Linked DNA regions of Mus musculus: region 2 is reported to be linked to region 1. Evidence: microRNA targets listed by miRTarBase, many of them from high-throughput screens and not tested one by one. Region 1 holds a microRNA gene; the other region holds the end of a gene's coding sequence.
The links. Region 1 holds the annotated microRNA mmu-miR-684 (AGUUUUCCCUUCAAGUCAA, at 6,783-6,801, shown strand). A microRNA usually pairs through its seed, bases 2 to 8, with sites in the 3' UTR of a target mRNA and lowers its output. Matches are read on the target gene's strand: a 7mer-m8 pairs with bases 2 to 8, a 7mer-A1 pairs with bases 2 to 7 and ends in A, and an 8mer does both.

Region 2: miRTarBase lists Kcnk3 as a target of mmu-miR-684. Seed matches in the 3' UTR shown: 8mer at 8,755-8,762.

The regions. Positions count from the first base shown.
Region 1 is chr2:80,619,095-80,635,514 of GRCm38, reverse strand. Mir684-1 (microRNA 684-1) reads left to right here and starts at 6,725; the gene lies at 6,725-6,810. Dusp19 (dual specificity phosphatase 19) reads right to left here. Exons shown (of 4, transcript NM_024438.4): 2 at 14,275-14,321; 3 at 11,155-11,307; 4 at 3,854-4,723. The coding sequence ends at 4,484. It also overlaps the pseudogene Gm13690.
Region 2 is chr5:30,615,182-30,631,601 of GRCm38, forward strand. It overlaps Kcnk3 (potassium channel, subfamily K, member 3), which reads left to right. Exons shown (of 2, transcript NM_010608.2): 2 at 6,710-10,089. The coding sequence ends at 7,656. Among named protein-coding and RNA genes, the nearest start is that of Mir5625, 25 kb to the right of the region's middle.

The DNA of each region.
Region 1 (16,420 bases):
ACTGCTCTTCCAAAAAACCAGAGTTCGGTTCCCAGCACCCACACCAGGCAGCTCACACCCACCTATAACTTGAGCTCCAGGGAAGTTATGCACTTACCACACACATACATAGGATTAAAAATAATTTAAAAATTAAAAACAAAAACAAGGAGAGATATCCACCTTTTGTAAGACTTTAAGAAATAATGGAATTTGTCTTCTTCAGACAGAGATCGAAGGGAGGACGCATGATGCCTGGGCGTGTCAGCTCTGCCTTCGGCAGCTTGTACATCGCAGGCTGTCTGTCATTCACCTAGACTGTGATGTTATATAAGCACTCACGTGACTTCACAGTGGCCAAGATCAAGTGATCTCCAGAACAGTTTCATGATGTAAATAAACCATAAGGACCATCTCAAACAAAAATACAAACCCAACAGTTGGCACTGCATTTTGGGGCTCTATAAACAATAATAGCAGAAGCTGTATCTCTATGTGTCTTTGAGTCAACAGTTACAAACAGAAACATGGCGGTTTGCTGATGGTCTCGTTATAGGAAACAACTGACAGAAAATACTCAGCCTGACATCAGTGAAATATGAGCTCAGCTGATTTGCCTTCTCATTTTTTTTAACCAACTAAATGGATACTTTTGCTTTTTGAAAGCTAAGAGTAACTACCAAACTTAAATAACTTTCCTGTGCAATTTTGTTTCTTGGTCTTGTATTCAAATACCAATTAGGTTTAATTGGATATGATAAAGGCTCAGGGAAGTTATAACAGTCAAAACAGACTTCAGGGGAGGCAGAGTTGTCTCGATTCTTGACAGAGTTACATCTGGAATTTACCTTGAGGGGACTTGTTCACGTGTTCAAGAGGGAGAAGAAAGGATGAGTGAGTGACAGGAAACTAGAATTGTGGTTATAAATATGTTATTTTCTGTAATTTTGTTTGACATTTTCTCTCATCTTTTAAATAAGCCCAAATTTTAAGATATTCAAAAGTCATACATTTTTGTCACCACTTATGTGAAAACTATTAGTGAAAAATCAATGAAGCAATTACTCTTTGCCTGATAATTATTTTTATTTAGCCAACACGTAGTTTGCGGAGGACTTTGAACAGTTACTAATCAGGGACACTGGTAACTCCAGGATTTAGTTTACTCATCTGAATCATAGAAAAGTTTAGTGTCAACCTTATATGTAATACGCTGGTTTATTCACCCCAAAATAGGCATGTTATTGCCTTATTACTCAGCAAACTACATAGCAACAAAAACATCAGTCTGGCTTCTCCCATCACTTATTCCACCAAACTGATCTTTCCAAGGTCACTTAACCTCCATGCCACTGAGCCCAGACATCTTCAATTACTTGTTTATCACATGGAAAGCCTCAGTATCATTTGCTCTTATTTCTCATGCACTCTGAAGCCCTCCTTGGTTCCTCAGACAGTGTGTTTGGATGTTCTCTTCTCTCTCTGGCCATATCTCTTTTCTTGGCCCACCCTCCATCCAGCCTTTAAATGTGGCTGTTTTCCAAAGCCCAGTTTTTGTTTTTGTTTTTTAGATTTATTTATTTATTTATTTATTTATTTATTTATTTATTTAATGTATGTAAGTATACTGTAGTTGTCTTCAGACACACCAGAAGAGGGAATCAGATCACATTGCAGATGGTTGTGAGGCACCATGTGGTTGCTGGGAATTGAACTCAGGACCTTTGGAAAAGCAGTCAGCGCTCTTGACTGCTGAGCTATCTAACTCCTAAGGCCCAGTTTTAGTACCTTTAGTTGTACTCTAAACTTTTTCTTGTGTGACGCTGTCCATTCCTGCTGCCAGTTCATAACAATGCCCAAGTGTGCCACTGAGTTGGTCTCTTGACATACTCACTTGACCTGGCTATCTCAAGGATACCTCAAATCAAATATAAAGGGTCAACTTTGGAATGAATATTTATCCCAAAGAAGGGCACTGCCCGTTCTCTAGTTATTGAAGCTGGAAACCTTGGGGAGATTTTTGAAAACTCCTCTTTTCAATAAAATTCAATGTCAAGGCTTGTAAGTTTTCTTTTTATATGATTTATTTTTATTTCAATTATGTGTAGGGGTGTGTGTGTGTGTGTGTGTGTGTGTGTGTGTGTGCTGGTGCCTGTAGCAGCCAAAGGCTGGTCATACAACCTGGAAAAGGAGCTGCAATTACACACTGTTGTGTGTTACCTGATGCTTGTGCTGGGAACCAAACTCTGGTCCTCTGACAGGGCAGTGAGTGCTCTTAACCACTGAGCCCTCTCTCTAGCTTCCACTTCCTTCCATCTTTACTGTATCAACTAAATCTAGCGTCACCACTACAAACCTGGACCTAACCTCCTCGCTGGTCTTGCTTTTCCTCCTAATTCACTCTAGGCAATACAACCAGACTGAACCTTTAAAAGAATATTCTGAAGATTAGGGAATACAGCTCAGTTAGCATGTAAGAAACCCAGCACCAAGCAGCTAACCCAGGCTTGGTGGCCATGAGAGCAAGTCAGAGCCCACCTGCTAAACATTAGACCCTGTCTCAAATGAATGAACTACCATTTCTTTAAGCTGGAGAGATGGTTCAGCTAAAAGCACTGGCTGTTCTTCCAGAGGATCTGGGTTCAATTCTCCATACCCACATGGCAGCTCACAGCTGTCTGAAATCCCAGTCCCATACAGCACCCTCTGCTGGCCCATGGATACCGCATGCACGTGGTGCACAGGCACACAAGCAGGCAAAATGCCTATATACACAAAATAAAAGTGAAAATAAGCAATAACAACAAAACATTCTAAGCAAATTCCCGATTACCACCCCTCGATCTTCTCACTAATCCAAAAGACTAGCATCCCAAAACTCTGCCAGCTCCCACTTGACATGCCAACAGTCCACCCTCACAGACAGCATCTCATGGCCTCCAGCTCGCCGCTCCCACATCTCGGAACTTCCGTGCCGCCAACGTTCAGTGCTCCTCCCCAGTCCTTGCCCTTTACATATACTCTCGACTCAGTTCTGAAAAATCTGCCACAGCCCACCCACCTTCAGTCAACACCCACTTATCTTTCTAGCACTTATCACAAATGTCACTCAAAAGGCGTGAAAGAATTCCCTCATAACTAGAAAAAGTTAAGATTTGCAGTATGTACTTACATAAAATTGTAAAAGATTTATTCGAGTGTGTGTGTTGCTGATGATGGAGGTCAGGGCCTTTGGCAAACTAAGCATGCCACTGGATCTGCAATCCCCTGCCACTGGATCTGCAATCCCCTGGCCCAAGTTCAAAGCCTTGAAGCAAATTTATAATGTACATAGTTCAACTTGGTGAATGGGAACCTTAAAGGGAAAAGAAACCTCTTTCAAGTGTTCCTCTAGGAAACAATGTGGATAACGTTAAGCAGCCCAACAATCTTTACAGCTTTCTTTCTATGGGTTCATATTTGTTTTCCTAAAAAATGTTCTCCAGCAGAATAATAAAATAGATCAATCTTGAGATTCCATCTTTAAAAATCGTCTCTCACTATAATGCAGTTTTTAGGGATCCAAGGAAACTCCAAAAGCATGGTAGGTGACCCCTAAACAGAACACTTAGCACCCTAGTTAAAAAGCTTGATGTGTGTGCGGGTGGGTGGGGGAGCACCCTCTCAGGCAAAGGGGCAGATGGGGTGAACAACTCTGGCGGGGGTGGGGGGAAACCCAGGTCGGGGGGGAATATTTGGAATGTAAATAAATAAAACAATTTAATTAAAAAAAGTTGAAGTTTCAAAAAAAAACCCCACAAAGTATAAGAGATAACACCTAATTTTTAAAAAAATCATAAAATCACAGCATCTACACAATCACTTGAAGCATATAAGAGAAATGTTTGTAATAGGACCAAATGTAAAAGTCAAAATAAAAAAAAAGTGAAAATGGAAATTAGGTTTTTATAAGAGGATATAACGATCACATGAATTTATAATCATTATATAAATGTTTATATAATGAATATAAATTCCTTTTGATTCTGGTACTCTTGGCGGGGGGAGAGGGGAGGAGGTACAGGTATTATTTTTAACCTTAAAAATATTCTCAAAAATTTGACTTCCCTTTGAAATGCTAAGTCTTCACTTAGTAAGTTCATCACTTCAAAGGTTCTCAGGTCAGAAAGCATATGAGAAAAGAAGGGGTTAAAAGGCTTCATGGCTTGTTTTTCTAACTCTAAGAAAGGTTTTTAGGTTTAAACTTTTTCCTACACAAACCACTGATTTACTGACTTGATAATACACTATTTTCTCTTAGAACTCAAAGAAACACTTAACTAGATACTGAAATAACAAGGAAAAGGTAAAACTTTAAAATGTATTAATTCAGGGCGACAAAGGTAACGTTCATTTCCACTGGTAAAAGACAACAGAAAAGGGAAGTTTTCCAAGTTTCCTTCCAAAACACAGGCAAGAGGACAGAGTCTGATGCAGAAGTCGTTTGCCTCTGCTGGAGTACAGATCACAGACCACCGGTCGTGTCCTCCGCGGGCACTTTGTCACCTCCATTGCTCTCCTTGCCTACTTGGTAGGTGCGGAGTTGTTCCATGAAGCCAGGATTCGGACATATGGATGGTCTCGCCTCTTTCACCAACGACAGGGCAGTGGTGAAAGTGGCTTCTTCAGAACTCATGAGGAAGCCAATGACAATTGCAGCAGCCCTGGAAACACCTGCATTACAGTGCACGAGAACCACGCCATCCTGAAACGCCGTCAAACAAAGTTCATATTAGACACCTGAGAAGGCTTAATTACACATTCTTTTTTTTTAAAGATTTATTTATTATTATATCTAAGTACACTGTAGCTGTCGTCAGACGCACCAGAAGAGGGCATCAGATCTCATTACAGAGGGTTGTGAGCCACCATGTGATTGCTGGGATTTGAACTCAGGACCTTCGGAAGAGCAGTCGGTGCTCTTAACCACTGAGCCATCTCTCCAGCCCTAATTACACATTCTTAGTAGACTCAAAACTACAAAGTAAATGACTTGTCTATGTATTTACCAGAATACATTTCATTGCAAAAAAAAAAAAAAAAAATGAGGGAAAAAAATTGCATTGCAAAAAAAAAAAAAAAATCATCCAATAAATATCTGCTCTTGCCCAGACTGAAATGCTCGGATAATGTGGTTGGAATTCTGAAATGGCACTTTTTACAGGACTCAAGTGATTCAGCCCAGTACACATAAAAGCCTACTAACTTCCCATGCATATAAATAACTGGTGTCACTGGCTTGAACATCTATATACAAAATGACTGGCAGGGGAAAAACATTTTGCCCTGGGGAATATTATTCTGTAAGGAAGTAAATTAAAAATGTTTTTAACTCATCAGTAAATGATGGCTTGGACAGCTTATAAGAACATGGAGTGGAAAAGGTAACTGGACACCAGCAGTGAGGTCAGTGAGTGAAGAGCGTCTCGGGTGACCTGTAAACGATACTTTACAAGAGAAATGAACAGTGTGGGTGGATACTGATGGAGGCAATAGCGTATTAATAATGAATGGAGTAGATCTGATGGGTCAGCACTGATACAGCCTGGCCTAGTACAGGCTTCTAAAAAGTTAATGATCTATAGTGAACAGAGCACACACACCACAGAATTAGCCCCTTCAGCAACTTCCTTTCTCCACTCTTCATTTGCTACCACAGAAAAGGGACAGGACGAATTAACAAATTACTGGAGCCCCTATCCCGCAAGCACGGGGCACACACTACTGTTGTTATGGGTCACTTGGCTATTTTAGGTTTTCAAGGCAGCTTCCTCACATCTGTGTATCTGTGGTACAATTTCTTTCTTAACCCATTCTATCAAGCTTGCAAGTGTATCTCTTCTAAAGAATGATTAGCGGTGCGCTCCCTCAGTGCAGACCCGGTGCCTCTTTTGTGAAGCGGCAGCTGAGGAGACTCCGGCGCTCGCCATGGCCGACGAGAAACCCAAGGAAGGAGTCAAGACTGAGAACAATGATCATATTAATTTGAAGGTGGCGGGACAGGATGGTTCTGTGGTGCAGTTTAAGATTAAGAGACATACACCACTTAGTAAACTAATGAAAGCCTATTGTGAACGGCAGGGTTTGTCAATGAGGCAGATCAGATTCCGGTTTGATGGGCAGCCAATCAACGAAACAGACACACCTGCACAGTTGGAAATGGAGGATGAAGATACGATTGATGTGTTCCAGCAGCAGACTGGAGGTGTCTACTAAAAAGGGAGCCTGCTACTTTACTCCAGAATTTTGTTATAGACCAAGAATACATTCTCAATTAGAAAGCCACAATTTGGTCCCACCACATCCTGACTACTACAGTATAGTTTTCTCTCTTCTTTCATTTCCCTGTCCCCATTTCTTTATTGTACATAAAGTAACTGGTGTATGTGCACACGCATAGTGCTCTCTCTTTCTTTTCCTTTTTTAAACTAAATTACCGATGTTCTGTTCTGGTTGACATGAGATGGAGGTGGTCTGGGGAAAAATACTGGGTTTGTGAAAATACCCCCTTCTCCACTAGTGGCATGCTCATTCAGCTCTTATCTTTATATTCCAGTAAGTTATTTTGCTCTCATTGTTTTAACAAAAGAACCCAACAACAACAAATCCTTGCATACCTTGTTCGATTGGAGAATTTTAATGTTTTTCATTTATCATTGTAAAACCAAGGACAATTTTATAACTTTTTTGTACGTAGCTGTTACATGTAGGGCAATCTGTCTTTAAGTAGGGATAAATTACTCTTGAACAAAATGATCCTAGATAGTTTTCCCTTCAAGTCAAGCGTCTTGCTGTTTAAATAAACTTCTTGTTTAAAATGAAAACAAAAACAAAAACAAAAACAAAAAAACAAAAAAAAAGAATGATTAGCAACAAAATGACCAGTATTTTAAAATTTCTTACATCAACAAGTATACTTCAAGTGTTTTCTTAGACATAACTATGATTCATTTTCTTGTTTTGTTTCTGCACAAAGAAAGGAAAATAATGTTCACTATATACATCTATACATCAAGAAATGTTCTCACTTTTAAAAAATTATTTTTATTTTTAAAAACAATATGTGTCTGTGTACACTCACAGACAGTGGGCTTATGCACATATGGGTGCAGTGCACATGGAAGCTAGAAGAGGGCTCTGGAACTAGAGAGGGTTGTGAGCTGCCTAGGTACTGAGAACTCACTCCGAGCACTTAACTGCTGAGGCATCTCTCTAGCCCCCCCCCTCTCTCCTTTTCTTTTTTTGTTTGTGTGTATGTGTGTGTGTTCTGCTTTTTGCAGTACTGAGAACTAAATCTACAGCTTTGTACACACTAGGAAGCACTCTATCCCCAGTCCTTTTTTTTTTAACTTTTCATTTTAAGGCACGTTTTCCCTAAGTAGCCCAGGGTGGTTCTGAACTCACCCAGTGCTTCTCGGTTCTCCAGCTCAACCTTTTTCTTCTTCTTCTTCTCTTTTTTTTTTTTTTTTTACTTTGTACCAACAGCTAATTTTTTATGACTTAAAATGTTTAAAAATTATATTACAACAACTTGAAAATTACTATGTACATATGTATATATATATATATATATATGTATATGTGTGTGTGTATCAGTTCAAAACAAATCTTCAGATCTCAAATTTACTCATTTGAAAGTATTAATATTTTCTTTTCACTACGTTATATAACCACTTTTCTTTTTAGGATTTATTTTATGTATATTGCCTGCATGCATGCATGCATGGGCACCTTGTGTATGAAGTACCTTCAGGTCAGGTGTTGGATTCTCTGAAACTAGAGTTACAGATGGTTGTGAGACAGCAAATGGGTGCTGGGAACTGAAGCTGTGTACTCTGTAGGAACAAGTGCTCTTAACAGCTAGGCAAATCCTCCAGACCCAATAACTACTTCCTATAGCTTTTAAATTCCTTCCTTCCAGTTTTATGTAAACTGTCCTTGAAGGTACTTGCAAAAGAATGGTTGGATTTTACTCCTTGTTCTGAGAGCTTAAAAATACTGAAGCAAAGTTCCCTTTACACTTACTGCTATGCTATGTCTCACAGACCTTTACCTCTTCTTCGGGCAGCCGACCCTGGCTCTTGTCCTAAGAAAACTGGCCCTCTGCAGGTGAGATGAGAGAGGAGGGCTGTTTCACCCATCTTTGAATCTCTAGCACTAAGTTCAATTCTTAGCATATAGTAGGAATTCTGTGAATGTTTGCTAAGTAAATAAATCAATTTAGTGTGCACTTGTGTAAAGAAATCTTGTTACCCTAAAAGTTCACACTAAGGGAAGATGAGCCATCCAGTAGGTAAAGACACTGACTGTCAAGTTTTCAGTCCTCATCCAGGGAAGGGTCTTGGTAATACAGACACTCATGACCAGTCAACAAGCAAAAAAATAAGCCACTGTGCAGTGCTCAGCCGTAAATGGAACACGTATGTGATAACCCCTCCCCTGAAGGCTCCAGGAACATTGTGGAAGAGGGGGCAGAAAGACTGTCAGAGCCAGAAGTCGAGGCTGGGTGCAACAGTGTCTTCTGAACACGGAAGGAATGCTGCACTCACTAACCCACTGCAGCTGATGGTGCCTGCACCAGACCTGCACAAGACCAAGCCAGTCAACGCTCCAGCAGGGATGGCGCGGGCTCATCAAGTCTTGACCCTGCTTGAGGAGCTATTGACAAGTTGACTGGTATTAGGGAATGGAAGGGTCAGTTTTCTTTATAAGTATAGGTTAACTACGCTCCAGTGGGTGCCCTATGCCCATGGGTGCCCCATGCTGATGTTTATATGGACAGTTAATCAGACTCAGTGAGTTATTGAAAAAACAAACAAGGACATGAATCTGGGAGGGGGATGTGGAAGGATCTTGGAGGAGTTGGAGGGAAAAGAGTAGGGGAGAAATATGATTAAAATACATTGTGTCCATGCATGAAATTCTCAAAAACTAAATTTAAAATGCTATATTAAAAATAAAATTAGGGCTGGAGAGATGGCTCAGTGGGTAAGAGCACTGACTGTGCTCCCAGAGGTCCTGAGTTCAAATCCCAGCAACCACATGGTGGCTCACAACCATCTGTAATGGGATCCAGTGCCCTCTTCTGGGGTGTCTGAAGACCGCTACAGTGTACTCATATAAATAAAATAAATAAATCTTTTAACATAAATAAATAAATTAAATTAAATTAAATAATGAAATATTTCCAATCCTTTTTGGATAGTCCACTCTGTCAGTCAGTGAAGCAAGACTCAGGTCCTACCTCATTATCATGCTGAAGTCTGACTGCAAGCATCTGTCAGCACAGGTCACTCTGACGACATTCATGACTGTCTAGACATGGTGTTGTAGTTTGAATATGTTTTGAGCATGTTCCCTAGAGGTTCATGGTTTCAAAGCTCAGGTTCATGCTCAAGGTTAGGAGCTGGTAGATGTGTAGCTGTTCTTTTGCTATTGTGTGAGTTCTTCTTCCTTCCACCCTTCTCCACCCCTTTTCTTCTGCCTTTTCAACCTCCCAACACTAGATAGAGTTGAAAAAAGGGATAGAGAGGAGAGGCAAGAGGTCCCTGAATAAAGTCAGGGGGTGCCATTATCTTTAGACTACTTCCTCTTGATTAGGAATGTTGATTTCCCTGGGGCAAGTTTGATCTTCCTTGTGAAGATAACTAATTTCTACTTCTGGTTCCTTCTTCGCACATGACTACCTAACAAACCACAATCAACAACAACCAATCAACAACCTACACCACCTCTCAGGGCCCTAGCTTTTATATACCCCCTGAAAAGTCCCCAGAATCCCAAATGTCACAAAATTAGAGAAACTAACTGCAGCTGGCAAAATCACACCCCAGCTAGAGCATGAAGCAAATCATAGTCAGCTGCTGTGAAGCCGTCCCATATCCCAGCCTGAGACTAAAATGAAAATATATTCTTATATTTCTATGTTTTTTAAAGAAAGCAAAATTCCAAAATTGTCACTACAGGCATGCACTCTTTCGTGGAAGGTAATAGCAGAGTTACCATGGAACTCCTGATTAGTTCTTTGGGGAGGAAATTATTATATAAACCCCACCTACAATCTTGCCTGTGGATGTGATATTGCTAACAATAAACAAGTCTGTAAGTATGAATTCTATGATATTATTCTGTATTAAAGATGTATATACATTCAGTTATACATAATAATTAAAGGAATTGATTTTGAAAATTATAAACTTAATTATAATAAAAATGTAAAAATATTGACAAAAAATATCATTTCAAGGAACAACTTTAGGTAATAACCATCCTAGAAGCCTTGCCTATCAGAACGTTGATGCAGATCAAAAATTAAGATTAAAATAATACGCCATGCCATGCTGATCTTCTAAAGTCACAAAACCAGCAGACAATTCTTGATTAGGATTCCATATAATCTCAGCACACACAAAAAAATTTTATTCTTCCTTAAAATTCTATGGTTCCAAACACATGAGGGCCAGAGATATGGCTCAGTTGGTACAGTACTTACTTGGCCTCAAAGCCCTGAGTTCCATCCCAGGGCAACATAAAAACAGGCATGGTAATGCACAGCTGTAATTCCAGCACTGGGATGGCAAAGGCAGGAGGATCAAAAGTCCAAGATCATCCTTGGCTACACCAGCAAGTCAGAAACTTAGCCTAAGCTGCATGAGACCCTGCCTCAATAAATATATCAACAAAAATGTAAATGCACAGATACACAGTCTCTGTGCCTTAGTCATGAAAATGAATGAATATTCATCGTCACGAATACGTTCACAAGACTAGAGCAGACTGTACCCTTTGGTCCATCTGGTTTCTTATGAATCAGTCAAAATGCAGGTCCCAATACAGCCTCCGAGGATATGTAACTACATATTTGCAAAGAAAGATTCATTAAGTGAGGGAGTTTATCTCCTAGTGTTTCTTGGTAAGAACTCAGAACAGAACTAAATTAATATAAAAAGCAAACCTCTCATTAAGAAAGAAAAAACCAATTAGAGAATGAAAACCTTAAGGAGTTAGTGAGTATTGCTGGAGGGAAATTTTCACAATGGCTCTTCACAGATCCATTGCAAAATGTACAAAGACTGGGCGGTGGTCCTATGTTTTTGAATTTCTACTTCTGAATAACTGTATCAAAACAAACCTCACCTTCAGTTTTGCTTGCTCAATAAACTCAAAACATTCTGGAAAATAAGACAGGATATTGGTTTCAGGCACATCCAGTATAGAAATGGTCTTATATGTAAACTCACTGAGGAAAGCATTTTCAACTCCATATGCAACATTGAGAATATGAGTCACCTTAAAGGAAAGAAAAAAAAAGATGAATTTTAAGTTCTATGAATCAGATAATCTAAAAATAGACTATAATGTTAATTTCCATAATAAGAATAATCAGAAATATAACTTGACTCACTGAATGATACATCATCTTTGTGCCCTTTCCTCTGCCTCATCCCTCAACAGCAATGCTCCTTCATAATACATGTACAGCCCTTTTGTTGTAACCCAACTCAATGAAAATGAAGACCAGGGTGAACTTACTATCACAAGCACTGAGTGAACAATGACCTTAGCAGAAAGTTCTTAAAAGATCTACTGGGGGAAAAAAAAACAAAACAAACAAACACCCTCAGTTCATAGCCATACAAAAACTTTGGTGACAAGGGGTGGTTTTTGGTCAGTTGGTTGGTTGGTTTGTTTTATTGCAGTGAACCACAGGTAGTAGAGATGATGAGGGACCCAACCTAAAAGGCCTTTTTTTCCCAATAAAGCCTCCCTATATTTCTCAGGTAGAGAACTGCTTACTGATGCTGGCCTTGGGCTGGGATGCCCTTTATAGTAAGGATAGTAAGAGGAGTTCGCTTTTCCTAGGCATGACTAAGAGGGTGACTGTGCGGAGAACGAGCAGGGTGCGATAGAGATGATCTTCTTTTCCACCCCAACAGTGAAGCAGAATGTGGACAAGTATGCCATTAAAACAGGAGCAGTGAAAACAAAAACAAAACAAAACAAAACCACAACTTGCTAATGCAAAGGTTTTTCAGATTCCATTTGCCTCATTACCCTGAACAGCACTGATCAGTTAGTGGAAAGAAGGCTGAAACTTTCTCTCGTTTTGTTGAACTGTTGGTGTGCAAGGATTCTGGTAGGCGATCCAGGCATTCTCACATGTTTACGCAATTAAGGGTCGTTATTTCTCATTATCGTGCTAATAAGCGTAATAAATCAAAGAGAAGCTAAATTAAACACAGGTCTGTAAATTGACAGGCACAGGTATCAGACTAGCTAATGAACTGATCATTAGATATTTTCCTTCGGGAAATAACTGCAAATAATTAACACGTCACATTTTTTATCCTCCATTCGATCAGTTGCTGTTTCCCTCAGAGCTGTGGGTGACAAACATACGATGAGTAAGGTCTTTACCCAGTGTACCACTTGTCTCAGCCCACACCAGTGTGTGTGGGGAGGAGAGGTGGTAGTTGTCCACAGCTCTTCTCTCAGCCGAAATGCTCTTCCCACCTTTATCACAGTTGCCAGTTATGAAGTCTCAGTGAGATGAATGCTCTCAGAGAAGTCAGCTCACACAAGCTGCCCTACCAGTCTCTTGCTGCCTTGTTTGCTCCTTTTAGAGGAGATGATCTCCTCTGAAAGTGTCATGGCAACCTTTACATCTTCCCATCAGGTCTCACTGCCTTACCTATACGCTTTCTTTCTGCCTTACTTCCATAAATGATACATCCCTGCATACTTTGTAGGCCCTTCCTGGTATGTGCACCTGGATCCATACTACTACGTCTACACTTTCCTCGAGTGACTTTCCAGAATCTTCTACTTCTCTAACATTGGCCTTAATGTTAATGCCTTAACTCAACGCCTTCCTGGTGCCACCCAATTTCTCTTACTTGCAGTTCTACCCCTGGGAAGAGACACCATGACCAAGGCAACTCCTAAAAGAAACCGTTTAAGTGGGGGCTTGCTTGAGATTTGGCAGCAGCCAGTCAGTCATGGTGCTAGACCAGTAGCTGAGAGCCCACATCTGATCCACACTGAGAGATGGCATGAGACTGTGCCTGGTATGGGCTTTTGAAAGTGAGACACCTCCTCCAACAAGGCCACAACTCCTAATCCTTCCTAAACAGTCCAGCAACCAACTAGGAAGCCCCTTCTCCCTATAACTAAGCAATCACTGAATTGTAAGGATTTGGATATCTAAGCATATCTCAAATCCACTACTATCATCTTCTCTAAGAGTACTAAAATAACTTCACAGTTGGCCTCTCCATCTCTAGCTCAAGCATTTCCCACAGTCTATTTCCCATGCGGCTTCTAATGAGAAATCTTTTTTGGAAGCCAATGTAATCCTGCTATTTCCCTAGATAAAACCTCTCATTGGATTTCTGCCATGTTTTGGATCACTTCCAGACAACTTGCACTGGTTTTACATGGCCCTCCATACTCTTTTTTTACGCTTACCTCTCTCACTCATTATCTTCGCTCTCACATCATTTTCTGAGCTGTTTCTGTCCCTGAAAATGTCAGCCTTTTTCTTTTCTAGCTCTGGGGTGTCTACACACCCCATCTCTTCCATCTGAGTCCTAAGATGCCTGTTCCTTTCTCAACCCCTCTCAGAGCAAAACTGAAGCATCACCTCCTCCAAGAAGCATTTCCCGAGCCCCCAAGCCCCAAACTAAATAAGACAAACCTGGGTTAAAGGCACCATCACTCTGCACTCAACCACACAATGCCCGGCTGTACACCTTTGGCTTCTTCTTGGGTCCACTCAGTGCATAAGAACCCCAAACCACTTAACATGAGTTGACAACAGCAAATAGCTAAAAATTACTCTGAAGAAATACTGAAAATGAGCAATAAATCCTATTGGCTGTGTGAAGCGAGGTCGTCAGAAGCAGTGTCCATGAGACTGGAATATGAGCCAGGAGCGAGAATAGGTAGATCTGTGACAAGCAGACATGAGGGAAAATCTGACATGAGGGAAAGCAGAGGCAAGAAATAAGCCCTGCCAGAGTCCAGTTCATGAGGGCATGAAGGAATCTGAGAAGAACACAAAACTGAAAGGATGAATTACAGTCCTATATATTTAAAATAGATGCAATTATTTCAGCAATGCTACTAAAAGGATACCCCAAGTGATACAGATCAATCCAAATTATGCAAAAGTGAGGGATACAATCCTTCCCATAGAAGAATGGACATCTTCCTGTATGTGATGCCAGAGTTGAAATATCCATTTTCTTCATTTACCTTATGCTTTCTCAGTAGCTCCAGGTCATGAGCAGCATCCTGTGACCCTGAGGAAATAAATCATATTACCTTGAACATAAGTACAGTTATGGGAACTTTCTGTAATGATTCTCTTAAAAATCACAACAGAGGTGGGCTAGAGAGTCGGCTCAGTGGTTAAGAGCCCTGACTGCTCTTCCAGCGGTCCTGAGTTCAATTCCCAGCAACCACATGGTGGCTCACAACCATCTGTAATAGGATCTGATGCCCTCTTCTGGTGTGTCTGAAGACAGCTACAGTGTACTCATATAAATAAAATAAGTGAATAAAAAAATGTAAAAAAAAAAAAAAATCACAACAGAGGGGGTAAAAATGATTATGGGAAGAAACCAGCTTTGGGAAGGGAAATTTGGTAATATTCATCGTGGAAAATTATCTTTTATAATCTATGGACTTTCCCATTTTGAATAATTTACACTAAAGTCATAGGTGCTGCAGTGATTACCTCTCAGGATGTTCAACATATAACAAATAAAAACAAAACCAGCAAGCAAAACAACTCCTAGTCCAACAGAGGTGCTCAGAATTTAAAGATTACCATAGTGAGATCTGTCCCGCAATATGTACCACTGGAAACAAACATTAAAATAGGTAACACATGGCGATCATGTTCTCAATATATTAGGAAATAGAATTGCTTCAGGGGCTTGGGAAATGGCTCAGCGGGAAAAGTACTTTACTAACACAGGACCTGAGTTTAGATCCGTAATACACACATAAGCTCCAGGCATGCTGTGAAATAAACAATAGAAAATAAAAATATGTATTGCTGAATAACAAAGTACACCGAACAAAACACTAAACGCAGGGTTACAATAAATAGCCCTTTCTTTTATAAAAGAAAAAGAAAAAGGGTATTAAGGAAATCAGACACCCACAGAGTTCAGGGCAGCAGGAGAGGGAACACTCAGTAGCTTTGAGGTTCATGGGCTCCCACCCACACACTGTGTGCCGCTAGTGCTGTGCCTTTCACCGGCTCTTTCTATTGAAAATGGTTCTCTACTCTCCCACATTTGGAGACTGGCTCTAGTTAATAAGCAAACAATTAGCTGGGCGGTGGTGGTGCACGCCTTTAATCCCAGCACTTGGTTGGGAGGCAGAGGCAGGTGGATTTCTGAGTTCGAGGCCAGCCTGGTCTACAAAGTGAGTTCCAGGACAGCCAGGGCTATACAGAGAAACCCTGTCTCAAAAAACAAAAACAAAAAGCAAACAAACAAACAAATAAAAAAAGCAAAGAATGAATGACAGAGTATAGCAGGTTTCCCAAATGATCAAATAGGACATTCGCAATAAAGGATTTCGAGAATTTTACTTTTCTGTGGCTCCATTTCCATAAACAATGCTCTTTTCCATCCCCTTCCATATCTAGGAATCAGCCAGCTTCTCTCACATGATAACCAAGAGGTCACAAGCACACAGTGATTCCAAGCTGAGAGGCTCCTTACTAAACCTGGTCAGCAGAATGTGTGTTCTGCTTCTGTCTACTTGGAAGCTGGACTTCCAAAATATGAGCATTTGGTAAATATGTGTGGTGGGTACAGAAACTCTGTTCTCTCACCATCCTGTGACTTTTATCAATTGGAAATACTTCATGACTAAAAAGGTGATTCTCGGTTTTAACTGTGTTGGGATGGGTAAACAGGTTCAGATACATTAATTTTAGTTTAGTAGTTAATATATCTTTAAACTAATTATTCTATTCTGTTTCTATTTTAAAATAATAAAAAATTGTAACATAACTTAAATGAAATTATTTCCCTTTTCACCCTACACTGACTGCCTTGGTAATTCTCTCTCTGTGTCCCTGTCTCTGTCTCTGTCTCTGTCTCTGTCTCTGTCTCTCTCTCTCTCCATATCTGAAGCAGACAGGTCAGGTCGACTATAGTTGCTTTACTTTCTAAGTGACTTCCAAATTAAGACAATATTGATATAAACATAAATGCTGTGTATTAGGTGTGCTTGTGGCGTTGAAGCAAGTACTCTATCACTGACTCTCACTATGTTGCTCAATCCGACCTCACTCTGGAGCCCAGGCAGGCCTTGAACTAGTTACTATCCTCTCTCAGCTTCTGAGACAGCTCTAATTGCAGCCAATTAAGATTCTTTT
Region 2 (16,420 bases), not on the chromosome of region 1:
CAAGGAGGCCCTTCCTCCACATGGAGGAAGCCCTCGGAGCTCCTTAGACAGCCTGCTGCCTGACTGGATCTTCCAGAGACTGGGAGAGCACCTGAACTCTCTGCAATGTCTGCTAGGCCAGCCACCCTTCCCCTCAGAGCAGAGCCTGAGTACCAATGCCTGATGCCTTCCACCTCAGATGCTTTAATGCGCCCATTCTGGTTTTGGCTCTTGTCTCCACATTGCTATCTATGGTCTCCAGAGCTCCAGCTCTGAGGGGCACAGTCCCCAAAGAACCTTTTCCAGGCACCCACAGCTCAATCCTGACCGCTCCCTCCTGTCCGCTCTCCTTCCCAGCCTGCTGGCATCGTCCCTCCCCAGAGCCCGAACTGCCTTCCTTCTGCTTAGCAAGCTCTGGCAGCGCACTCAGGTCACCCTTCCCCTCCCCCATTTCCAACAACGACCTAGTGTGCAAAGCCTCTGGGTGTCTCAGACCACAGGTCACCTCATTCATCTTTCCCCTGGCCAGGGCTGTATTTACTCTAGATAAGCAAGTCTGCTGGGAGGCAGGGCACAGCCAGGAACTGCCAAGGTTCTAATCTGCCCAGAGATGGGGCTCAGAGACCCAGAGTCAAAGAAGGACCTGGAAGAAGGACCACATAAGTTCTTGATGTGACAGAGGAGGGCTTCCCAAACCATGCTCAGAGGAACCCTAGCTTAGCAATAAGCACTGTGAGAAAAATGTTCTGCCGTCAAATACATGAGAAACATGACACATTCCTCCAGCTATTCATGGGAACACGGACGGGTATGACCATGTGACACTTAAGTCACATGATAAAAACATTCTTTTTAGTCCCTATTTTCCCAATTTAATTGAGTCAAACAACTCTTTTCTCATCCAACCCTTAACATACCACTGAGCTGGTATCTGAGGAAATTAATGTCAATAAACATTGATTATAGCACGTTGTGGGGGGGGGGCTTTAATGTTCATGCAATCTTGGGAACCCAAATATATTCACATTGGCATCTCAAATCTACTAGTTCACCAAATCTCTCATGAGGTCACTGTACCCATTTCACAGATGAGAAACTAGAGGCTCAAAGGGTTAAAGAACCTGGCCAAGGTTAAGAGCTATTTGGCTATGGAGCCTGTGCACTTTCTGCCTCACTGAATTGCAGATGCCCTACCTATCTGCAGCGTTTCCCACATGTAAGGATAGCCTGATTCAGTCTTGCAGAATCAATTATCCCATGCTAATCTCAAGTTTCTGATTGACAAGTGTGTTCTTAATTGATTTTGATGGGGGAAATAAACTAATTAGAGTCTTAAGAATCATCACCTTGGCGCTGGTTCCATGTAGTAAAATATTGTATTTGATCAACACTTCACAAATGGAAGCTTTGATCTTGTGAGTGGGTGGCTGAACAGAGAAACTACTAAAAGACGTTCAGGACAGTGAAAAATGCCAGGGTAAGAACCAGGAATGAAAAGGGATGACACAAAGCTAGTGCTAGCCAAGCTGAGGACAGACCTCAGCCTCCTGCCCTCCAGCTCCACACACTCAGCTCCACCCGAGATGGGGCCATGGGTCCACCTGGGGGCCAGTTAGGCCAAGGGTAGGAAGCAGGCAGGCAGGCAGGCAGGCTAACACACTCCTGGCGCCAGTGGGGAGCAGGTGGCCAAGACCAGCCTATTATCAAGAGCTTAGAATTCTGCTTCAAGTAGAAGGAGCCAGGCCACTGGGAGAAGAGACCAGGAGGGAGAGGGGGAGGGGAAGACACACCCTCTCCATGCCCCCCTAGATCTCTGAAAGCCAGAGCTACAACCAGTGGTTGAGTTCCTGACACCAGGCAGAGACGAGGATAGAGGCCTGAGGCTTTCAATACTGTTGTTTAGTTCCTTGCTATCCTAAAATATTTATGCTGATAATTAACATTTATGTCCAGCCACAGCTTCCTCCACTGAATTTTTAAAAGAGATTTTTATTACATTTATTTATTTAGAGAGAGTATGTATGTGTTAGTGTGTGTGTGTGTGTGTGTGTGTGACTGTGTCTCTGTGTGTCTGTGTGCATCTGTGACTATGTCTGTGTCTGTGTGTGTGTCTGTGTTTGTGTGTGTGACTGTATCTGTGTCTGTGTGTGTATGTCTGTGTGACTGCACATATATTCTGTGGTATATTGTGGAGGTCAGAGGAACTTGTGGAATCTCCTAGGAATTAAATCAGGCCATCAGGCTAGGCATCAAATGCCTTTACCCAGTGAGCTATCTTGCTGGTCCTGGTGGCTTCTGTGCCCAGACCCATCTCCTATCTAAGTCACTTCCTATGAAGAGTCGATAGCTCTGACTGAATGAGTAGGTGGAGCTTTGGCCACACCTGAACTGTTAGGCAGCAGCCAGGGGACTGGTTTCATTATCTAAAATCCTTGGCTTTAACCTTGTCGTGTTGTTACCACCTCTAGGCATTGAGCAAGCCTCTCTGCTCCTCAGTGACTTATCTGTAAAACCCCAAGACTAGACCAAATGATTAGTAAGAACCTCTGTCTTCCCGTGGTGGATTCAGGATGGGAGATGGAAAGGGACAGCCCTAGTGAGTGTTCAGGGAGGCAGCCGCCAGAGTCTATGCTCAAGATAGGAGTTCTGGCTGTTTGGTCTAACAGGTACTAGGAGAGGGTACCCAAAAAGAATCAGCCTCAGAGAGCAGCCCCTGCGTGCGTGCGCTGGTACCCAGAGGGACTAGCAGAGCCCCGCCCCCAACCAGAGACTTGAAGAGGCAGCAATTGGTAGTTCTTTTTACCTTTTCCCTTGCAAAGCCAAACTAGGCACACTGCTGCCCCACTGCAGGGGGACAGGGTTGGCCAAACTCCCGGTGACTTCCCAGAAGTCCCGGGTCCCCTGGGACGGACTCCACCCTAGCTGGCAGCCATCCAAGCTAGGCACCCACGTCAGCAGGTCCTCATGGCTTCTTTGCCCTTTCGTCCAGTGACAGTAAGACAAAGGGATAGGCTCGCTCACCCTCAGCCCCAAGATGAAAAAAGTCTGTCTCCAGGGCGGCTCCCCTGTCCTACTGATATCTCAGCTGGCTCAAGATAGTGCCTGCAGCTGAGGCTTCATGCGCTTCTCTCTGGGCCTCAGTTTCCCCTCCTGACATGGCCCTGGCATGAATACAGAGTGAGAAATGCCTAGGGGCCATAGCCAACTCAAAGGACGTCTCCACTCCAGCCGCAAAACAGTCAGGCACAAATCAAAGAGTGACCGGGGGATGTTCATGAGGGCAAAGTTAAAAGTTTATTCTAAGGGTAAAAGTTTTGATTAGTGAGCCTGGCTGTGGTAGGGAGTGAGGGCCAGTCTGGCCATCTGCCCCACAAAGGTCAAGCACTGTCTCTGGCCCTGGTAGGGGCCTGGGTCAGGTCTGGATGAGTCACTCGATTTGAGAATTACCAAGTTGGGGGTGTACTTGTGGCTAAATGTGGGTGCTGAGCACTGCCCCCCTCAGGGGTGGGAGCTGAGCAGGAGCAGAAGGAGGGGGAAAACCCTGCGGAGAAGGTAAAGGGGCTTCTGGATGTCAGGTGAGGGGCCAGGGCAGCACCTGAGGGCCCAGCCAGCAGGGCCGAGCAGGAGAGCTGTTTTGTAGGCAGCCTATCCAGGCAAAGGAAGCCAGGCAGGAGGGCACTGGGTTTTCCTGAAGGGCATTATTCTTTAATGGAACCCAGAGCAAGCTGGTGAGAGGTAGACAGGTGCTTTGGAAGGGTTCCTTCCTCTTCGGGGTGGCTATAGATGGCTACACATACACACACATGCACACACACACACCACACACGCACACGCACACAGGAACCTGTGTTTTCAGATGATTTTCCAAGGGCCTCTCACAGTTGAATACTCCAAAGATTCCAGAAAGCTTCCCCAAGCCATTTGTCTCCTTTACTTCCTGAGGAAGATCGGGACAAGCGCTAGGGCATGGAATAACAGCTTTAGGTCATGGGCCTGGACCCCAAGTACAGACAAGGCAAAGGAGCCCAGAGACAGACAGCAATTTGCCCAGGGTTACACAGCTGGAGCCATAACCATGCTGTGCCCTCTGTGTAGAGCTCTGCCCCTAGTGTCATATCCAGAGAGGAGTCAGGGGTCCATATACTGTGTGGTGCTGGTCTGAGGGACAGGAAAGGACAGGATGAGACACTGTGCTAGCTGGTAGCATGCCCAGCTGTCGAGGTGAGTTGTGGATGGCTGTGGGACCCAGCTGGTATGCACAATCTGTTCTCGCCCTATTGGGGTGCAGTGAAGCCAGGCACCATGGCTCAACTGTACAGCCCCTGGCAGAAGGGGCACAACCACTGGATAGATGCCACAGTGGGGCAGGGAAGCCATTTTATGGACAGTCTTGAAGCCTTTACCCCTGCCCCAAACATCTGTTTCCAGGCCTCTCTGAGCTTTAGAATCCTAAGGACCGGCCCTAGGCTGTCAGAGGTGGCTCCACTGGAATGCAGTTACTCCCAAGCTGGGCGATCTCTTGGAAACGTGAGAGTGTTCTGCCACCTCCTTCATTATTAATCAGCGTGCTATTGTGGGGCATTTGAGATATACCAGGCTCTAGGCTAAGTGCATCAATACATTATTTCATTTATTCCTCCAAAGCCCTTGCTGCAGATGATATATTAGCCCCATTTTACAGATGTAAAAAGTAAGGCTCAAAAATGTCTTATGTAGATGGGAGAATTTGAACTCAGATCAGGCAATGCTCACAATATCCTGGTCTGTAATATAATCATGATGTGTATATTAGGACTCCCTTTGAAGGTAGAAGTTAGAGGGGGCCATTACAGGCTTGCCAGGGCTCCCCCCCCCCAAAGTTAATGTTTAGCTTTATGTAGTTGGGAGACCTGGAGTTCATAAATAAGCCTTCTCAGAACTTCCCAAATAAAGCACTAATAACTTTCAGCTAGGAGGAATCCAGGAAGACTACCTGGAAGAAGCAGTGTTTGGTTGAGATTTCCTAAGACCCAGAAAAGAAAAGATACTTGGAAATTCTGCCTACATTCTTTCATTCTCATAATTCTCTTAATAAAAACTGAAGTGTTTATGCTCACTGGTCTAAGTGGGAGAAGCACGTGACCAGAACAGATTTCATTTTCAAGTAGACACGATCAAAGAGAAAGAGTCATTTGTTCGAGGTCACAACACCACTAGGGATAAGGCCAGAGCTTGTGCCCAAAGCTTCTGGTTCTCATCCAAGACCCTTCCTGACTCCTCACCCCCCACCACCCCCCACTGCCCCCCACCGTCCCTCACCGCCCCAGACCGCCAGGAAGATTTTGCTGCAGTTTCTGTTTTGAGAAGGGTTTGTAGCTCAGACCATCTCTCCAACTCTCACTCTCTCCTGCCTCAGTTTCCCACACGCTGCGGTTACAGGCATGCGCCACTCTACCCAGCTCAAGGCAGAAACTTTGATAGTCACTTGATGTGCAGAGGGGCAGGTCTGACTCTGCTTGGCTCCCAGATGGGAAGAGTATAAGCACAAATGTGGAGGATGGAGGCAGAAGAGGAGCAGGATAATGACACACTCGTGCACACGTGCACACGTGCTCACACACACATGCACACATATGCATGCACACACATGGGTATGTGCACACACATACACACACGGGCATACTCACACATGCGCACGCGCACAGGCACCCTCATGCACACATACATACACACACGTGCGCTCACACACATATGCACACATGGGTGCACGCACGCACGCGCGCGCGCGCACACACACAGACATTCGCACACAGGCACACACTCAGAGTCTACTTTTGAACCAAATCCCTAAGAAGACCCCAGTCTTAGACAAGGTGGAATCCCCCCGAGCACTTATTAATTCAGCTGTAGGGATAAGGTTGGGCCATTGCTAGGCCAACCACTCAGGGAAATTGCAAGCTGCCAGTGGTCACCGCACCACCACCAATAAGCTTTGGCTGCAGCAGAGACACCATCAAGAGGCCTTGTGTGCCTCAGTTTCCGTCCCTCCGCACTGAATCATCATGTCACAAGCCATTCCATCCAATTACCTGCCCTCATAGTCACGGGCACTGAGGCCCACAGAGGACAGAGAGCATGGCAGAGCCCACAGGTATTACACAGAAAGCCAACTCTCAACTGACTACCTGACATTCACACACATACATTATCTCCTGCCTACTGACAAGCCTTCCAGCAGAACCAGGAGCCAGCTCCTCCCAAGAGGCATGAGACACTCAAGTTTTCAAGAAAGCAGATTCAAGTTCAAACTCGGATTGCTAAACTTCCAGGCAATGTGACCTGGAAAAGTCTAAGCCTTCTGGAATCATCATCCCAGTACTTCGTGTTACAAACTAAAGGTTAGCCCGAAGCGCTGGACATGGGTGTGCCCACGTATGGAAAAGCAGACTCAATAGCTAGGGCCGGAGGCGTCAGACATGGTGGTGCAAGCCGGTTACCCTAGGACTTAGAAGGTGGAGGCAGAAAGAGCAATGTAGTGAGTTCAAAGCCAGCCTAGTCTACAAATTCAGACATCCAGGCTAGCCATGGCTACATATCTAAACCCTAGCAAAGAAAGAAGTGGGGAAATGGAGGAAAAGCCAAGTCCAAAACCTGCAAAGTGGGGAGGGAAGGGGATGGGCAGAGGAGGAGGGACCCCTGCCAGACCAGCCCCACAGCCTGTGCTTTCTCTCTTCTCCCCGGATCTCTACAGGCTATGGTCATGCGGCGCCCAGCACGGACGGAGGCAAGGTGTTCTGCATGTTCTACGCGCTGCTGGGCATCCCGCTCACACTAGTCATGTTCCAGAGCCTGGGTGAACGCATCAACACCTTCGTGAGGTACCTGCTGCACCGTGCCAAGAGGGGGCTGGGCATGCGGCACGCCGAGGTGTCCATGGCCAACATGGTGCTCATCGGTTTCGTGTCGTGCATCAGCACGCTGTGCATCGGCGCAGCTGCCTTCTCCTACTACGAGCGCTGGACTTTCTTCCAGGCCTATTACTACTGCTTCATCACCCTCACCACCATCGGCTTCGGCGACTATGTGGCGCTGCAGAAGGACCAGGCGCTGCAGACGCAGCCGCAGTATGTGGCCTTCAGCTTCGTGTACATCCTCACGGGCCTCACGGTCATCGGCGCCTTCCTCAACCTCGTGGTGCTGCGATTCATGACCATGAACGCCGAGGACGAGAAGCGTGATGCGGAGCACCGCGCCCTGCTCACGCACAACGGCCAGGCTGTCGGCCTGGGTGGCCTGAGCTGCCTGAGCGGTAGCCTGGGCGACGGCGTGCGTCCCCGCGACCCAGTCACATGCGCTGCGGCCGCGGGAGGCGTGGGCGTGGGCGTCGGTGGCAGCGGCTTCCGCAACGTCTATGCCGAGGTGCTGCACTTCCAGTCCATGTGCTCGTGCCTCTGGTACAAGAGCCGCGAGAAGCTGCAGTACTCCATCCCCATGATCATCCCGCGGGACCTCTCCACGTCCGACACCTGCGTGGAGCACAGCCACTCGTCGCCGGGAGGCGGCGGCCGCTACAGCGACACGCCCTCACACCCCTGCCTGTGCAGCGGGACGCAGCGCTCGGCCATCAGCTCGGTGTCCACGGGCCTGCACAGCCTGGCTGCCTTCCGCGGCCTCATGAAGCGCAGGAGCTCGGTGTGAACCACAGCCAGACCTGGAGCACCTGTGAGCCAGAGGGGTAGGGGACCTGCCTGCAGAAGCCGCAGGAGTTGGCCAGAAGGCCCCCCAAAGACGCCTTCGGGCCCCATGGGAAGTCCCCAGCCCATCACCACCACCACCACCTCTACTCTTCCCCAGCCCCTAAATCTCCAACTGTGCAGGCTATCACTAGCCAGCAGGAGGCGGGGCTCTGAGGACCCCTGGAGCCCCCATCGGAGCCGAAGAATTCCGAGAAATGTGAAACTTAGGGGGTGGGGAGCCCGGAAAGCAGCCACGGGGAGCTGCTGAGAAGCCCCCAGTCCTCAGAGGCCCTACGGGGGCCCCAGACCCCTCACCTCCGGAGGGAACTAATGTTCTCGGGTTTTGTTTTCTGTTTTCTGTTTTGGTTTGGTTCTCTCTCTCTCTCTCTCTCTCTCTCTCTCTCTCTCTCTCTCCCTCCCTCCCTCCCTCCTTCTCTCTCTCTCTTCTACTTACACCTCCTCTGGGTTCTCCAAAGCCCAAGGTGTTTTTGTCCAGGTCACCCCCACTCAGTCCCACCTGGCTTTCATCCCCAGCCATGTCTCCCAGCCTTCCACTACCTTACGTGTCCACTCCCTTCTGTTTTTTGCATGGCTATGCAGTTATGGAAGAAAAAAAAAAAAAAGGAAACCCCAGCAGCCCCTAAAGCTAGTCCCCAGAGGGCAAGATAAAAAAGAAAGAAAGAAAAAAAAAAAAAAGAAGAAGAAAAAAAAAGGGCAGGCCACAGATGTTAGAGCAGAGTGTGTGCAGAAACTGTGGCTTCCACCTCTGCGGGGTGGACATCTGTAGGTGAGCCACCTGGAGTCTGGGAACATTCTCAGGGGCTCCTGAGAGACTCCAGCCTTCAGGACTGCCCTTGGAATCTAAAACATGGACTCCCCTTTGCTGTCCCTGGCTGCAGCTGCTCATTCACTCGTCCATAGGTTGTTTTTTTTTGTTTGTTTGTTTTTTTGTTTTTTGTTTTTTTGTCCCAGAAACCCTGTGCCACCTCCGTATTCATTTGAGTGTAATAACACTCTAGTTAAGTCACCTGGGCAGTTCTTATGGCCATTTTTCAGAAGAGGAAAACAGGTAAAAAAAAAAAAATTTTTTTTTTTACTTGCCCGGGGTGTCTTGAAGGGGAACAGCCTGCCGGCTTGTTCCCAGCCCAAGTGCTCTTTCTTCAGGCTCAGCCTGCCCTCAGAAGCGAAGCCCCTGCAGGCAACACCCCAGCTTTGTGTAGGCAGCTGGGGTTTAAACCAGAATCAAAAGCCCCAGCCTGAGCCACTGCCAGGGCTCTGCCTCTGGTACTCTTTAGCCCAGAGACTGAGGCTCTAAATGGACCCTTGTCTCTGTTCACAAGCAGGGAAGTCCTTGGGACCAAGGTAAGAAGGACTGAGTCTCATGGACTACAAGCCAGCAGTTGGCACTCTTGAGAGTTCAGGGACTGGGCAGAGCAGCCCAGACAGCTGACAGGTATATCCTGGGACGTTTTCCCTGGCCTAGAAGCCAGGATAAATGCATCCTAAGTTGCTAGAGTAACTTCCACTGCAGCCAGGAACACCCCTCTGGAGGGAAGGAGGTATTGGGCCTGCTATGCCTTCTACCTCCTCTACCTGCAACCCAGTGGAGGGTGGCTTGCTACTGGGGACAAGCTGGAGGTGGAAACCAGGACAACAGAAGGGTATGTGTGGGGCTATGGGTATAGCCCCAAGTTTTATTCCCAGTACCATGAAAAGGGAAACCTTTCCCCTGCAGAGCTGCCTTCTGCTCACTGTTCCCAGGCCTAGCTCCATACTGCTGAGTAAGGCCAATGTGACCATTTGGGGAGGTAGAGAGAGAGCCCCACCATGTCCTCCAGGTCCTGGGAAATCCTTAGGTGGAAGGAATCTGGCCTGTGTGTATCCCATGTCCGTGTGGAGGAGCTGGCCCCTGTGTCAAGGGGGAATGGAACCCAGCAGCTGGAGAGGTGCTGTCTGTGTTTATGTTGGGCTGGAGGCAGTGCTGGCTGCCTCTGTCCTGTGTGTGACCCTGCCCTCGAGGGGTCAAGTCCCGTCAGATCCGAGGGAGCCACAACCAAAGTTACAGAGAGGGTGGGGAAGGCAGCAGAGTGGCCCTAGGGTCTAAGCATGGGGGACTGCTGGTCTCCTGTAGGGTCTTTGCCTAGGGAACTAGAAGGCCACTGTCACTTCCTGTCTCACCCCCTCCCATGCAGGCAGCCTTTCTGCTTCCCCAATGCCTTATGCCTGGGCACACTGCCACAGAATATGCAATATGTGTGGGTGACATCCCCACACCCACCCGGGCAGCCCCTAAGTCCCCAGGCTGTGGCTGCCCTGGCCCCCTTTTCAGCAGCTCCTGCCCATCTGTCTTCACACTGAGAATGGCGCCTAATAAATGCTGTCCATGGAGACCAGGCTCTGGTTCCCGCTCCTCTGTCATTAGTCATTCACCCTGTCACCCTGTCACCCTGTCCCACCACTCACCTAGTGCGTTCCCCTGGGGCTTCTCAGACTGCTTTGGGTGCAGGTTTCTTGTGTAGAAACCTGGGAGTGAAGCCTGGCTTCACTTAGGATTTTCTCAAAAGATCCAGAGCTCAGAAGATTCCGTCTTCCTGGAACAGACTGTGAGAACAGGACCTTAGAAATGACTGGGCCCTTTCCTCCCTCTGTACACAAGTAAACGAGGCCAACGAGGGCAAGTAACTTGCCCTGAGTCACACAGCCATGAATGGCAACCTAGGTAGGATAAGAAGCAAAGCTGGTGACTCCCCACTTTGTCTCCTCAGCTGACTGCAGAGTCAAACAGGACATGCCCCAGCCTCCAGGGGTGACCTCAGCTCCTCCCTGACCCCAGTAGCCTGATGGACACAACACACACACACACACTAATATCACTTTCAAAGATGGGCACATCACAAATACCTTTTCTTAGGGTGTGCTACTCATGGTCTAGAGTAGCACATGCTTGGGGATGGACCCTAGAGCCCAAGACAGATATATAGAAAGCAGATGCACTGTGCCCAGTTGGTACCAACACCTGACTCAACTAGCCAAGGGTATCCAGGCTTCCCTAAGCATGAACCATAGTAATACCTTTGGCACCAAAATCTGTCTGCACGCCATGACTCACAACCACCCTACCACATTCAGGGTGTGCATATCCGTTCTATTCCTTGTTTTAAATGCCACCTGGGACCTATTTGGTTGATTCCCTTTACTCACAGATAAAGACATGCTAGAGAAACAAGGACCTGGGCTAGAGACACATTCCCTTAATCTTTCCTTCTATCTACTTAGACCAACTAGAGAGATAGGACATATTTGTGGAGAGGTTCTGGGTTCAAAGAAAACCTGTGCCCTTTCCAGGACACACCAGCCTCCCTGGGATGAATCTCTAGGCATCCCTTGAAGTAACAGCAGGCAGGTTCTATGGCATGTTTCTTGGTAATCTACTGGCCTCTGTTTGGGCACAGTAAAAACCTGGCTCATCCACTCCTAAGACTACTTCGTCTTAATCAAAGCCCAAAGGTTTGCTGCTCAGCTCTATGAGATACAGCGTCAGCAGAGGTGAGTCCTTCTGGAGGTCAGTGGTGTCCAGCACATGGTCACTTGGACTTTCCTAAGCAGTGCTTTGCGGGACACAAACATGGCTCTTGCCCTACTTTCAACATCGCCCTGGACAAAGTATCACAAACAGATGTTGCAGGGATTCCTAGAGGGGGCCTGCACCCCAGTCCCACCCAGAGCTACCCAGAGCTCAGCACTAACACAGGATCTTCGTGTCCAGACACTGTCAGTGCCCCCCCCACATGCCCCCAACCTCCTCACCTCTGAGGCTGCCTGAACTGAAAGACACAGGAAAATGGACGTTGAAAGCCTGCAGAGGAGAGGGAACGGGAGCAAATGTCTGAAGTTCCCACCAGCACTGGGATTTGGGTGAGAGTCAATGGGAATAAGCTTCCTGGGAGCCAAGAGAAAAGAGGGATGCAATGGCAGCTCCTCTCTAAGCAAGCCAGTGGCCGCTCATAGGGGAGGTGCTAAGTTGGGCTTGGTGACTCATGCCTGCAATCTCCAATTCAGAAGGCTAAGGCAGGGAGATTGGCATGAGTTTGAGGCCAGCCTGCATATAGCCTGTCTCAAAACACCAAGAAGGAAGAGAAGGGTAGTCCTTGCTCTAATGAATTTGGAAGAAGGATGCACACATCACCACTGTCTGAACTCCACAAAACTCTAAGCTTAGTAAAAGTTTTTAGAAGACCTGCAGCGAAACCACTGCTCGTTTTGAGTAACACTCAAACTCATTCCATACCAGATCCTCTGTTGGCCTGATACTTCCCAGACTTCCCAGGGCACACTTGGGGACCTCCTCGGCTGTCACAATATCACTGATAGGGAAGTAGGTCTTATCCTTCCCTCTTATCCCCAACTAGGGTCTGTGGATGTAGCTCAGTTGGTAGAGTACTTGCCTAGCATGCACAAAGCCAATGCTTGATCTCTAGCACTGCCTAAAGGCGTCACATGCCTATAATCCCAGCACTTGGGAGATAAAGGTAGAAGGATCAGAAGTTCAAGGTCATCCTGGGCTACATAGCAAGTTCAAGGTCATCCTGGGTTACATAAAGTTCTCAATAAATGAATGAATTAATAAACAAACAGGTAAATATAAACTTTAATAATTGGTAAGTCATCTGTAACTGGCAGCTCTAACAACATGAAATACACACTAGCAAAGCTCATTATGTACCAAAAAAAAAAAAGGTTCAGAGCAGCCAGCCCACTGGTCTAACAGCAGGCAGGGAGTTGATAGCAAAGCTGAACATGGAACCAGGGCTAATGTTGGTGGATGAAGCTCGTGCCCTCACTCATCATATTGCTCACTGCCTGGCAGTGGTCACTGTCATTAGAAAAGGTCTGGCCATTGAAGAGTATGAGACCAAGGCTCCCTCTCCTCCACAGCCTAACAAGCCCAGCCTTGGGTGGACTCAGTGTCCCCCTGTGGCTGAAGCAACTGCCCTCCAGCTTCTCCCCCCACCCTTGCCAAAGGACATCGAGAAATAGACGTATGTGAAGCAGGTGCCCAGATCGGAGGACCAGCGCCCACCTTTCAGAGAAAAGGAACTGGATTCACAGAAAAGAAATGATAGATCCAAGCTCATGAAACAAGATACTGGCACAGCCAGGGTTAGTAGCCACAGAACCTGGCTTGTCAACATGTACACACCCAATTCACACACACACACACACACACACACACACACACACACACACACACACACATACATATTCAGACACACAGACTCTCATGCACATACACACAAGAGTGTGTAATTCACACACACATATTCAGACACATAGACTCACATGCACACATGCACACAAGAGCATGCACAAGCTCAGAACCCTGGCCCCTCTGCTCTGACTTTGGAGGAAAGTTCTAATCCTGGAGTTGAGTCACTTTTATGCTGGAAATTTACATCACATCTGGACAAACTAGAAGACTCACATCCCCTTGTCTCCCAGCTGCATAGAGGACTCATAGATGGGATTCTGATGGTACTGGTCTCTTTGATCCCCTCTAGTCAGTGATGCACACACCTGGAGAGTCTACATCAACAGCATTTGACCACAAGGACAACACTGTAAGTTAGGCAAGAATTGACACCCTCATCAGAAAGATAAAGGTCTTGCCTTGTGACCAAGGTCACAGAACTCAGTATCAGAGGCACTGAGCAGAGCCTAAAGTGTCTCCTTAGTGGCTGCTGTGCTGGGCCAGAACAGCAGTCAGGTCCTAAGGGATCTGAGACAGCCAGTGCCCTGTTGTTTACAGCTTTCTGGTGGCTGGACAAGGTCCCAAGCTTAAGGAGGATCCAGGTGGACACAGTTCCAAGAATTCATTGGCAAATAGGGACAGAGTGTAAGGGACTCTTCACGTACTTCACCCTGTCCGTGAAATGTCCAGCCAACAATCTCTGCCCTCAGCAGGAGGGAACAAAAATCACACCTCTGACCCTACATTCATTGGCCACCTCTACACGTCTTCATCTACCACAGTTCTTGCTCCCAGGAATAGGGTACCTGTACACAGGCCATACACAGTCATGGAATGCTGTGATCTCATTCCGGGATCAGACTGAAGTCCCAGAAGTCCTGAGATTTGAACTCTCCAACATCAGGGCTGAGAGACTTTGGGCCAATAGACTGTGAGGATCCAACCCTGGAGAGCAGAACTGTCCCAGGGTAGAGAGTCTGCCAGGCCCTCTGGCCTCGCTCTGGGCTTTACCCACTCTTTAAGTGAAGAGTTCTGCCTTGCCTTAATTTGAGGAACAACAAAGCTTTAGGCATTTACCTGCTGGGGGCCCTGTGTAAAGATGTCTTCTGGCCCTTCTCAAAGATGGAAGAGGATGTGCCTTCTAGGACCTGGGACTGAGCTCAGCCCTCCCATGAACCACAACCTTGCTGCTTAGCCCTTCCCAAGCAAGAATCTGCTGAACAGCCCAGCCCACAGGACCCCATGCTCTGAGTGACTCCATCTCCCACTATGTGTTAACTCTAAGGACCATCATGTCTTCCTTCCACTGAGACAACAGCTGTGTTTTGAGGCTGTCACTGGACAGCAGATGCTTTCATCCAAACAAGTCAAAGTGGCTCTCCACAGGGACAGGAACCTCCAGGCTTTCTTGGGTCAAATACCCAGTTGTTTCTTTCCCTTTCCTGTAAGTATACACCTGGATGCCCCCATCAGCCTGACCCCTTTCTCAAGGACAGCTTTCTTGTTTCTCCTACCCAGGAGCTTGCTGTGCCACACAGACACTCATCCCCTCTTCTGCTTTGAAAGCCATTCCCATTAGGAACACAAGGCAAACATTCAGATGCTGCCTCCACTGACTTCACGGCCCACCAAGAGCTCATCATGAGGGTCATTGTGGCAGACTCAGTGGACTACCGAAGCAAGAGCCATTTCTGCAACCTTCTGCCTGATGACAGACTGCTGACATCTCTCAGAGGCTCCTCCTTCCCTGAACCCAGGCCCCTGCAGGGATTCAGCTGATCCCAGTGACCTCAACATTAGGTCCTGTCTCAGTTTGGGGCTCTTCAGGGATGGCTTCAGTGGGACTACTGGGAAAGGCCTTTTTCCTATAAGAAGGCATCAGAGGAATAGAAATATGCCCTATACTTTGACTAGACAGATCTGTGTACCCTTCAGAACTGTGGCAGCCATCTTGTGACCTTTAGGGAAACACTAGATTCAATGTCGATGGTAGGGAGAAAAAAGCAAAGGGCTTTGCTGGGCTACTGAGAAATACCAGGATCCCTAACTAGAGGAGCTCCTGTCATGGGAAATGGAAGGTGATGGACCCAAATGCATTGTGCTACTATTGAAAACCCCATGGCCCTTCTGTAATAGGATACTGCACAGTCTATGCCTGGAGGACCACAAGGAGGAAGAAACAGGGCTGCTAGGTGGTTTGTTCATCTTCCCTTCAGGGCTTAACACTAGCCTGGTTTGTACCTCTTGTTCCTGTCTTTTGAAGGACATAGAGGGCCAGTCACAAAGATTTGTGTTTTTCTTTGGTGTAGAGAGGTCCCTCATCCAGTCTAGCTCAGTTGGAAACTTCCATCAAATCCACTGAGCACTGGTATTTTCCCTGCTCCCAGGACAGACCAAGCCTCAGGCTCGGGTAAGGAACTTAGACATGGAAGCGATGCGTTCTCCTCCGCCCCCTCCTTCTATTTCTGGCTGTTCCACAGTCAGCTGGGAAGAACGACAAAAGAGACAGTAGAACCCTCTCTGAGGCCAGGACGCAGGTGCTGGCACCCACTGGGGTCCAGAGTCCTCTCAGGAGCCTCTCCCAGCCCTTTACACAGAAAGGCAAGCTGATTTTTCCACAATGCTTGCCCCTTGAGAGCCCTGTAGCCTCCTCTTGTCCCCAAACCAGCCCTCTGCTATCTTCCATCATCCAGTCAACACACAGGACACTCAAGCATGCTGACCATGCCAAACAGTGCCCCATGAGACCCTGCCAGTTCTGCCCCTGTCCTGTCCCTCCATCACAGGAACAAAAAAGCAGCAAGCCCTTCATCAAGGGTAACCCCCAGACAAGAGATGTCCTCTCCTTCTTTGGGGTATTTGAGTGAGTCCCGCTGCCCCATGTGACTGGGTTTCATGCCCAAGTTTCTACCTACAACTGCAGGCACCCTCCTTCTCCACCTTCCACCTTGCTAGTCATCCGGTCTGAGGAGAACAGAGAGCACCTTTTTGTCCTTGGCAGTGTGTTCTGGTGGAAGATTTGGGGGTAAGAGAAAATATTGGGGTGTGCTACACATCCTCTGGAGCAGGCCTCTTCTGGGCTTGAGCTATGGCTCCATTTTTATGTCAGTCTGAGATGGTCCAGTTCGACTATGCTGGCATCCCTGCCTCTCTGTAATGTTCCAGGGTCAGAGACTGGTCCTGCCACACACATTGATTCCTCCTGTCTCCCAGCTCCACATCTCCCCCTGATTTGATAATCTAGCCTTCGGGGCCATTATTCAAGCCTTTGATGAAAATATCAAAGAGGACAGGACCAGATAGCAGGCTCTTAATTCCAGATGACATTTATTCCAGCATGTTCTTTGTGAGCTGTTGCTGCCCCAGCTCCTCACCTCTTCCTTTTATGTATTCTCTAAAACAGTCTGTTTAATCGAAGCTGGCAGGAGGCAGGGGTTCCAGCGACGTTCGTTCGCCACTCCTTAGACCCTGGGATGTC